Drosophila melanogaster: one gene and its partner. The protein of the gene in region 2 interacts with the protein of the main gene of each other region in a pairwise test. Each region holds a gene or a part of one and is shown on either strand. Other genes may lie near its edges. The genes, in order: CG8746 and Hmt-1.

Region 1 (3,781 bases), on a different chromosome or scaffold from region 2:
CACTTCATTATTTGCTCGTTTCCATTGCTGTGTTTCGCTGTTTGCCTGTTTGTTCGCCAGTTTGCATTGTTGGCTCGTTTCGATTTTAATTGTATCTGCGTGCAGAGGCCACCATCGCCCACATCTCACCAAGGAACCAGCCAGCCCAATGGCCTCCACCACTCCACCCCAAGTACTTTCGAGTATATTAAATACCGGAAAGTTCTCAGGTCACTGAAGGGCAAACGTCCATGGAAAGGTGGAAGGGAGCAGGCCAGGTGCTAAACAGGTCAGTTCGGCGAGTGCGTGCGGGATAGGAATTCATGTAATTGGCCTAAAGACGTAGCCCTCACTTGATATATAAAAATATTTATTAGTATATAGAATACTCTTCATACATTTTTCCATAATTACATATATACGGTGATCAGTCATGGCATTATTGACAGATAGTTTTCCGCCTGACAAAAAAGTATGACAAATGCCCACCAACTCCTAACATAAGCGATTCATATGATATGAATGCGAAGATTCGGATAATAAATTTAGAAAATCATTCCCCGCTTTTTCCTTAATATCAATGCCTTATAATATGTTCTGCAACTTGTTTATTGATCACATTTCTAGTCGTAGTAAAAGTTGCCACACAGCCGCTTGCCGCCCCTTAATCTTTTGAGTGGCGTTTTGGAGGGCACGGAGTACAAGTTTTGCTGATCCTCGGACATGGCGTGTGGCAAGATGGAGTAGGGGTGTTGGGTCACATGGTACCTCTGACGGGCAAAGTCCTGCTTCTGCTGCTCGTGCTGGCACATCTGCTGGTGACGCTGCTGCTGGTGCAGCATGCGGATATACTGGTCGTAGTACTCCGGCTGCTGACAGAGCTTCTCCTGGCGCATCTGCATCTGGCGGGAGTAGGGAAGGCGCGTGCCTATTATCTCGGTGGGCCGGCTGCACAGGGGCACGGTGTAGGTCTTTTTGGACCGGCCACTCATCTTGATTCTCGGACGGTAGACGTCTCCCTCCCGTCCAGGTGAAGTGCTTTTCAGAGGTTGATCCGCTCCACCAGCTAGGTGTGCCATTCCTGGGGACCTCTTGGCGTCCACGACCAGGATGTTCCTGCGCCGCGGGAAGCCAGAGTGGGAAAATATTTTGGTGGGCCTCTTCCGAAGCAGTGACGATTGCTTCTTGACCTTCTTTCGCTCCTTCTTAGCTGGTGATCTCGACTTTGGAGGCGACTCCACCTGATCCTGTTTCTGCAACTTTTCGATGTTTATAGCTCCCAATTTGGCAGCTCTCTTGGTTACATCGATCCTTGCCGGCCTGGCCCAAACCTTCCGTTCCAGCTTCTTTCTTTCACGATCCTTCAATCCCTTGATCCGCTTCGGAATACGGAACTCCGAGAGACCAGAGGGATCGCTGGCCAATTGCCAGGCGGAGTTCATTCTGGGTTGCTGCATGGGTTCAGCTCCCACAAAGTTTGGGGGAGAGTAAGTCGTATGTCTCTCCTGCGCTCCGGCCGCTATGGGTGGCGGTGCGAAGTACTTTCGCAATGCGGTCCTGGAGTCCAGTATGCCGGGCCAGTTGCTTGATTTTAACGATTTCGAATTCGCCATTTCGCTGTTGCTCACACTAAAAATTTGGTTTTGTTTCAAGGGGCCTCATACATTGCCAATAATTTGATTTATTTTCCATGAAATCTAAAAAAGCACTAGCCAAATGGCAGATAGAAGTCTAAATGAAAGGGGACGGGATGCCAACTAAAGTCACACTTATTTATTGGCCTGACCTCATGTTCGGCACTCGATGGTTGTGTTTTGTGTGTGTTTTTTGGGGGCCGAGTCCACAATCCCGCCCACCGACCACCAACCGCCGCCCACCGACCTCAGATGGACAGACAGTAAATCGGTTCGTGGCATTAATGCAAATAAGTGGAAACACAAATATTTTCAACGTTTTTGTGGTTTGAACCGAACGAACGAACTGCGGCAGAGGAAACCTTTTTTTTTTGTGGACCCATGGCCGTTTTGGGACGACAGCACGAGGGTCGATGGATCATTTCCGCTCTCCTGGCTTGTGTCCCTGCCCCCCGAGTCCCTTTTCCGCTCCCATATTCCGATTCCGTATCCGTAGTTGTTGCCGTGCTGTCCTGCGACCGTTTCCTGTCGGCGGGCGCAGTTAAATATTGAAATTTATATTTAAAATATTTCAAATATACAGTTAAATGCTTGGTTTCCCCCCTTTTTTTGCGTTGCCCTCGCATTTTTCACTTTAGTTTATGTGGAGCATGTTTAATTTATGAGAATTGCTGGTCCCTGTTCCTGTCCACAAGCCCACTCCATCGCTTTGAGCCCGATGCCAATGAATATGAAAAATCAATTTGAAGTTTGGGGCCCGCACTGAAGGTCAAACGGTTGTTTCGGGCCTTCTTAAATGCCGACGCCAACGAAACGTGGCAAATCGGTTTCACCATCATTTTGCATCGGGGGGTGGTTGCTGGATTCTGGATCTGACCCGTGTCCTTTGCCCTCGAACTCGGCCTAATTCGATTGTTACATTTCGCCTTAATTTCCTGCAAAAGAACAAACATTTGTGACTCTTCTTGGGCGGGTCAGTTTCTATCTCATCCGGTCGTCCGTCCGCTCCCCTCGATTTCCAATTAGCAGCAGAAATCACCTTTCTGTCCTTTTCGCCGACTCCCAGGACCACCAAGATTTGCGTCGTGCTGTTTCGCTTCGTTGTGTCCCAGTGTTAATGGAGGATTTGCACTTGCTACGACTTTATGCTCATTGAGGTGCTGCGAAAGGCCAACTTTCATTCCGTGCAAACGCAAATTTCTTGTCCTACTTCGACGGCGCAATAAATGGACGGATGAGGAGGCAGTCAAGGACTCGGACACGCGCAGGATAATTGTAATGCCCTCTCGTCCTTAAAGCCGAGATCCTGAGCGAAGGCTGGAGCTCGCCAGATTTTGGACAAGTTTTATGGATGGCGAGGATTGCATTTCCTGCTTGGCAGGCAACAATGCTGGAACCGGAAACGAGAGAGCCAAGATGCCGGTGCGGGGTGAAGTCCTCGGATCCGCGATTTCCAAGCATCCATGCATCCAAGAATCCAAGCATCCAAGAATCCAAGAATCCACGAATCCACTTAGCGGCGCATAAATTTCGCTCGGTACATAAAGTACAAGTGTACAAACAATAGGACTTTTGGCGCACGGCATTAAAAACATAAAGCAACCGCATCGAGGGCCAAGGAGCAGGACCAAAAATAAGACCAGGACCAAGGCGAGGTGCACCAGCCCGGGAGCCTGGATGATCCGGGTCACATAAACAGCGGCGAGTGAATAAAATCGCTGCCGCCACTCGAGGAGGGGGATGGGATGGGCGAATCCTGGGCCAAGTCAGGCGGCCGGGCCACTGCATTGCTATTTACAAAATGTCCTCGACCAAAAGGAGCGACCGAGTGAATCATAAAGAGTCCTTGCCGAGGCTGAAGCTCTGGATCTGAAGCTGGCAAGAGAAATGCACGTAAAATAATAAACAAGGCTTTGCAAACAATAAATGTTGCTCTCGACCTGCCCCTCCCTGCACCAACAACCCCAACCACCCAAACCACACAAACCACCCAACCATCCAACCACCACCCACCCACTCCGCGTCACATCTCTATTCTTACCACATCTGGCAGCTGCAATGCTACGAGTTGTTAGCGACGCTGGCGACGAGATTTCTGCCCGTCCATTGTTAGACTCCTCCTGCATTCTTCCCCGGATTCGGAGAATCCTGCATCTCCGCCACCGCCT
Region 2 (6,152 bases):
ATCGTCCGGAGGATCGGTTGAAGCTAAGGATAGGCCTGCACACCGGTGCCTGTGTGGCCGGAGTGGTGGGCCTGAAGATGCCACGCTACTGTCTGTTTGGTGACACTGTGAACACTGCCTCCCGAATGGAGTCCAATGGTGAAGCGCTCAAGATCCACATAAGTGAGACCACAAAGGAGGCGCTCGACGAGTTCGGCACCTTTGTGACCACACGCCGCGGATTTGTGCCCATGAAGGGCAAAGGTGAGATGCTGACCTACTGGCTGGAGGGCGAGGTACCCCGCCCCAACTCCCTGATCTCGCCCAGCAAGCTGATGCTCACGCGTCGCTCCTCACTGAAACAACCGCAGCGCAGCCAATCGCATAATCTTCACAAGCAGTACTCCGAACTAGTGGTGGCCTCGCCACCACCCCAGTTACCGCCACCTGCGATCGCTCTGCCACCGCCACCGTCGCCGTCCAAGGATTCGCCCAATCTCCGCGTGAAACGCAAGATCAGCTCCAGTTCACCCAAGCTGAATGGCGGCGGCTTTGACTATCACAAGACTGAGAACCACTATCTGGATACGGCGGCGGCTGCCCAGAGGAACTGCGACATCTACAGCAGCCGCAGTCTGAGGGACATGGAGGAAACCTCCGATAGCTGGGAGCTGGCACACTTCCGGCTGCCGCTGAGCGGAGCACTCAAGAGCCACCATCACCTCAATAACAATAGCCACGGCTATGTGCACTCGAATTCCAGCTCCAATCTGAGCGGTATCCTGCAGCCGCCGCCACTGGGTGTCCAACGCACCCGGCTGAAGCCCTCGCCCACGATCTCAACGCTGCTGACAAGCGCCAGGAGTGAGGCCAATGCCTCCCCAGGCCCCGAAACGGGCAGCATGGGCAGTGGGCAGCTGAGGATCAAGTTTGCTGAAGGAGACGAGACCCCACTGCTGCCCACACCGCCGCCGCTGGCTGCTCCTCCACCGATTCCACAGATGGTGGCCGCCAGTCCGCAACGGAGCGGCAGTGGCCAGAACATTCCGGCGGACAGCAGCCACTACGGCTTCCTGGTGAAGAGCTACAAGCAGCAGTGCCCACCGGTGGCGGGCAGTGCCGTCACCCAGCCACTGCTGGCCAAGATCAACTCATAGCTGTATGGGGGGGAGTCGACTCCCTCTTCACTGTAATCATATGCATATTAAATGTACTTGTTTGTGATAATAAGTTAAACCCAAGTTGAACAAGTTAGTGGTTAGTCAATAGTCGACCGAATCAAATTCGAAATTCGTACGGGAAATCTTCTAAAATGTTTCCTAGGTTTTAATCGCCCCATCCCCTTACTCATAAGTAGCGAATTTTATATTTAACCAAACCTCAAATTAAACAAAAATAAAAACAAAAAAGGCAACTCTAGATGTAAATAGAAACTTACTCCCAATCAATTTGTTCCTTGTGCTTTGAATATTCATTCTCTACAAACTCAAAAACTTAGCTTAGTTATTACCTAAGGTTAAGCGTAGACAATTTGTGAAAATTTCTTGAATGTAAAGTATTAGATGAACATTGAATATTTATTTTGAGAATTGACGAATAAAGAAATCTATATAATCTGTATATTTTACCCGCAGTATGTCGAAATAGGGTTTTAAAAACAAGGAATATTGAAATAATCACAATTTCTGATAAGATGGTGTGTTGAAAACCAGGAATGGTAAAGTAATCGCAAATTCTGATAAGAAAATGGTTTGAAAACTGGGCGCCAAGCTGAAAACCAGGGCTGAAAGCTAGCGTGACCGTTTCCAGAAAATTTGTTACCTTCAATTTGATAAGAGAATTACTTTAAACCTTTGATAGCTTAAAATTAAATCACTTAAACAAACTCTCCCTGAATTTATTATAGCAATCGAAAATGTTATATATTAAGCTATGTTCATTTAAATGAATCTCACCTGTTTCCACTGTACAATGTGTATGTGGTATGTTGTGTGTAAGCAGAAACGGCCATACCGAACCCTTGGGTCAAAATTATTTATGTTGATCGTAGTTGGTGGTGATTGGGTCGGAGTTGCCCGCCAGTTGTCCATTAGTTGAGTTATCACCTGTCACACGACTGATTGCGGTGTTTCCACCAGATCGCGACTTCTTATAGCGGGTAAGAGGGGAGCACTAGACCCGCCGGCGAATCGAGCATACGCAACATTGCATAATTTAGCATATCCAATGGGCTGGATGAGTTGCAGTTTCCACGGTTGCCGGACTCCAGGGTATTTCGGATCTCTTGGTGCCGTGCTGCAAGGGCACCAATTATCAATTCACAATCTGCACTCCGCTTACCCGGAGGAAAAAAATAGTGATTTCCCCTTTGGGGGCGTCTGATAATTTGGGTGAATAATTGCGAAATTGCCGCCAGCCCATAAAACAAAGCAATTGTGTTCACCGAGCTGTTTCCCAGTGACAGCTCCACTTTATCTGGCACGTTTCTATCAGAGCTTATCGTTCCGCAATTGCCTTTCCTCGTCGCCGCGCAGGTACACCGACTTCACCATGCTGTACTGCCCGCCCAACGTGACCCTCAGCGAGGTGTGGACGCAGCATGGCATCTCGCATTGCTTCATGGACACCGTGGGACCGGCGGTATACGGTGGATTCCTTCTGCTCTTCGGCAGCATTCAGTTGCTGATGTACCGGAAGTATGCCACCAGGATTACGGATCCCACGCAAATCTCCAAGTCACGACTGTTCGCGATGCAACTCTTTCTGTTGCTCCTGCTCCCGGTTTTGGCTCTATTGCGGTTTCTGATGAATGCACGTATTTATCCAGATAGTGCGGTGTACGGCTATATGGTAAGTATGAAAATGATCAAGAAGAAACAATTACTGATCGAAATCTTTTCTGCAGATCTTCTCCACTTGCGTTGTGTGCTTCTCCTACCCGTTCAGCATCTGTTTGATACTCAAGGAGCGCTACTACCAGCTGCCCTCAATGCCCACCCGAGGACATGGACTTGTTCTATTGCTATTCTGGACGTTGGCTTTCATTAACGAGTCGCTGGCCTTCATAAATTTGCGCCACGAGGACTGGTGGTTCCACCTAAAAACGTAAGTAATGCAAACGGCTGTAAAACGGATAATCTATAGTACCGCCTTTACTACTCGCAGGAACAAGGATCAAATTGAGATGGGCTTGTTTGTCACCCGGTTCCTGTGCTCCCTGCTCATCTTCGTTTTGGGTCTGAAAGCTCCTGGCATCATGGCCCCGTACAATCCACATCAGCGGCTGGACAATGATACCGCCAACGAATCGCAGGGAAACGTGCAGACAGGATCTGCTTTCAGGAACGGATGGCGCAAGCTGCGCACCGTCTTTCCGTACCTCTGGCCTAAAAAGAATATTGCTCTGCAGATAGCCGTCATCGTTTGCATTATACTGCTGCTTGCCGGTCGAGTCATAAAGCTGTTTTTGCCGATTTATCGCAAGAAGTTGGGTAGGTCAAGAATTATGAACGTAATTCGTTAAGTAATTCATTGCTAATCTCCTGTTTCGACAGTTGACAGTCTTACCATTGCACCGATCGTCTTTCGCTGGGACTTTGTGCTGATCTATGTGGCATTGTCCTTCCTCCAGGGTGGCGGCACTGGTAGCATGGGATTATTTAATAACCTTCGCACCTTCCTCTGGATACGGGTTCAACAGTACACGACCCGGGAGATCGAGATTGAGCTGTTCCGGCATCTGCACCAGCTTTCGCTTAGATGGCACTTGCAACGCAAAACGGGAGAGGTGTTGCGTGTCATGGATCGCGGCACGGACTCGATCAACAACCTCCTCAACTATATTGTCTTCTCGATCGCACCAACCATTCTCGATCTACTCGTTGCCGTGGCATACTTTGTTTACGCCTTCAATTGGTGGTTTGGCCTAATCGTCTTCCTCACCATGTTCCTGTATATAGGTAAGTGATAAAAATTATTCGATTAATTCCATTCGTATTTCAAAATATCCTTCCGTTTTACAGCCTCTACCATTGCAATCACTGAATGGAGAACCAAGTACCAGAGGAGAATGAACCTGGCGGACAATGAGCAGCGAGCTCGCAGCGTGGACTCCCTTCTCAATTTCGAAACAGTCAAGTACTACGGAGCGGAGCACTACGAGGTGGATTGCTACAGGGAGGCCATTCTCAAGTACCAAAAGGAAGAGTTCCTCTCAATGCTGACACTCAACATGCTGAACACAGCCCAGAATATTATTTTGTGCTTGGGCCTACTGGCCGGATCGCTGCTCTGTGTATACTTGGTAGTTCACCATCAAACCCTCACCGTGGGCGATTTTGTGCTCTTCTCCACCTATCTGATGGAATTGTACATGCCACTGAATTGGTTCGGCACCTATTACCGAGCCATACAGAAGAACTTCGTGGACATGGAGAACATGTTCGATCTGCTGAAAGAGGAGGAAGAGATTGTGGATGCCCCAGGCTGTTCGCCCCTTCTAACTGCCGGCGGTGGCATTGAGTTCTCAAACGTGACCTTTGGCTATTCACCGGAGAAGATAGTGCTGCGCAATGTGAGCTTCACAGTTCCGGCCGGTAAGACGGTAGCGATTGTTGGACCCTCTGGAGCCGGTAAGAGCACCATCATGCGGCTGCTTTTCCGCTTTTACGATGTGCAGACTGGTGCTATCCTGATTGACGGACAAAACATCAAGCTTGTGCAGCAGCAGAGTCTGCGAAAGGCCATTGGAGTGGTGCCCCAGGATACGGTTCTCTTTAACAACACCATCTTCTACAACATTGAATATGCCAAGTTGGGCGCTTCGGACGAAGCTGTCTATGAGGCTGCTCGCGCCGCCGACATTCACGAAAGGATTCTCGGCTTTCCGGAGAAATATGAGACAAAGGTGGGCGAACGAGGTCTGCGGCTCAGTGGAGGTGAAAAGCAACGCGTAGCCATCGCCAGAACGCTTCTTAAGGCGCCCATTATTGTGCTCCTGGATGAAGCCACCTCAGCTTTGGACACCCACACAGAACGCAATATTCAGGCTGCTTTGGCCAGGGTGTGCGCAAATCGTACCACCATCATTGTTGCCCATCGTCTTTCCACCATCATCCATGCGGACGAGATTCTGGTCCTGCAGCAGGGAAGCATAGCGGAGCGTGGGCGACACGAAGAGCTTGTGCTGCGCGAAGATGGCATCTACGCGGACATGTGGCAACAGCAACTCAAGAATCTAGATGCAGAACAGAGTGGTGGTTCTGATAACGGAGACGCTAGTGCAGAATCGGGATCGGAGAAACGCAGGGCAGGAGGAGCAGGAGGACCAAGTGGTACTGGAACGGGTGGTGCCCACTTCAGGGCAGGACATGCTCATGGGGGAGCACGCTAGCCTTAAGTGACATACAGAGTAGTTTCTGATATTCCTGATTCCATGTGATTTGTGGTGTATTGTTATACGTATGAGAGCAGCTCGTCAAAGTCTTAGTTCGTCTATAAGTAACCTTATATGCTACTCTTATACTAATAAATAACGTAGATTTTTATAGACAATCCGCGAGATTTAATATAATTTAAATGTGTCTGGTACCAAATAAATAGCGCAATATTGTGTATTTCTAGTCCTTATTAAATTATTAAGTCTTGAAGGGATACGAAATTGTCCTTGGGAATATTGTAAGATAATGTTATGCAAGATATCTTAAAATCCTCTAAACAGAATGTATCAGATTTGAGAATCCGTTTTCTGGTCCGTAAGACGTTGTTCCAGTGGACGCGGCAAAAATCTATTTATAGGACATTTCCCAAGAGATCGTAAGAGAGCCCAGCTGCCAAGCTGCTCTTCGCAGCATGATTCTTATCAACGAAACCTCCAGCAAGGCCAACCATCCGGCTGTTATGTCCGCTCAGTTTGAGCTTGGATCGCGAACAGAGCGGACGTGTCGAGCTGTGATCCGGGAATTAGACGCGTTGGCGATAAAGGAGGAAAAGCGTCGGCTTCTTTGAAAAATCTGATAATATACAGTCGCGTTGATATATATATTATATATAATATATATACATATATTCACTGATACTACATTGAGAAATCTGTGCGCGAAGTGAAAAGCGTCGGAAGATCTGTGGAAAAGCGAGTGCCACGACCTCGGAAGGAAGTAGCTAGTAGCAAGTAG

What was found.
Region 1: the proteins of Hmt-1 (region 2) and CG8746 interact in a two-hybrid assay, tested with the Drosophila melanogaster proteins (one large-scale study listed by BioGRID).

The regions. Positions count from the first base shown.
Region 1 is NT_033778.4:8,790,561-8,794,341, reverse strand, and holds CG8746 (uncharacterized protein), read right to left. Parts: upstream 1,710-3,781; 5' UTR 1,593-1,709; coding exon 603-1,592; 3' UTR 569-602; downstream 1-568.
Region 2 is NT_033777.3:15,853,315-15,859,466, reverse strand, and holds Hmt-1 (heavy metal tolerance factor 1), read left to right. Parts: upstream 1-1,996; 5' UTR 1,997-2,137; intron 2,138-2,513; 5' UTR 2,514-2,529; coding exon 2,530-2,829; intron 2,830-2,884; coding exon 2,885-3,084; intron 3,085-3,144; coding exon 3,145-3,470; intron 3,471-3,533; coding exon 3,534-3,938; intron 3,939-4,001; coding exon 4,002-5,371; 3' UTR 5,372-5,599; downstream 5,600-6,152. Other genes in the region: CG31183 (uncharacterized protein), read left to right, coding at 1-1,136.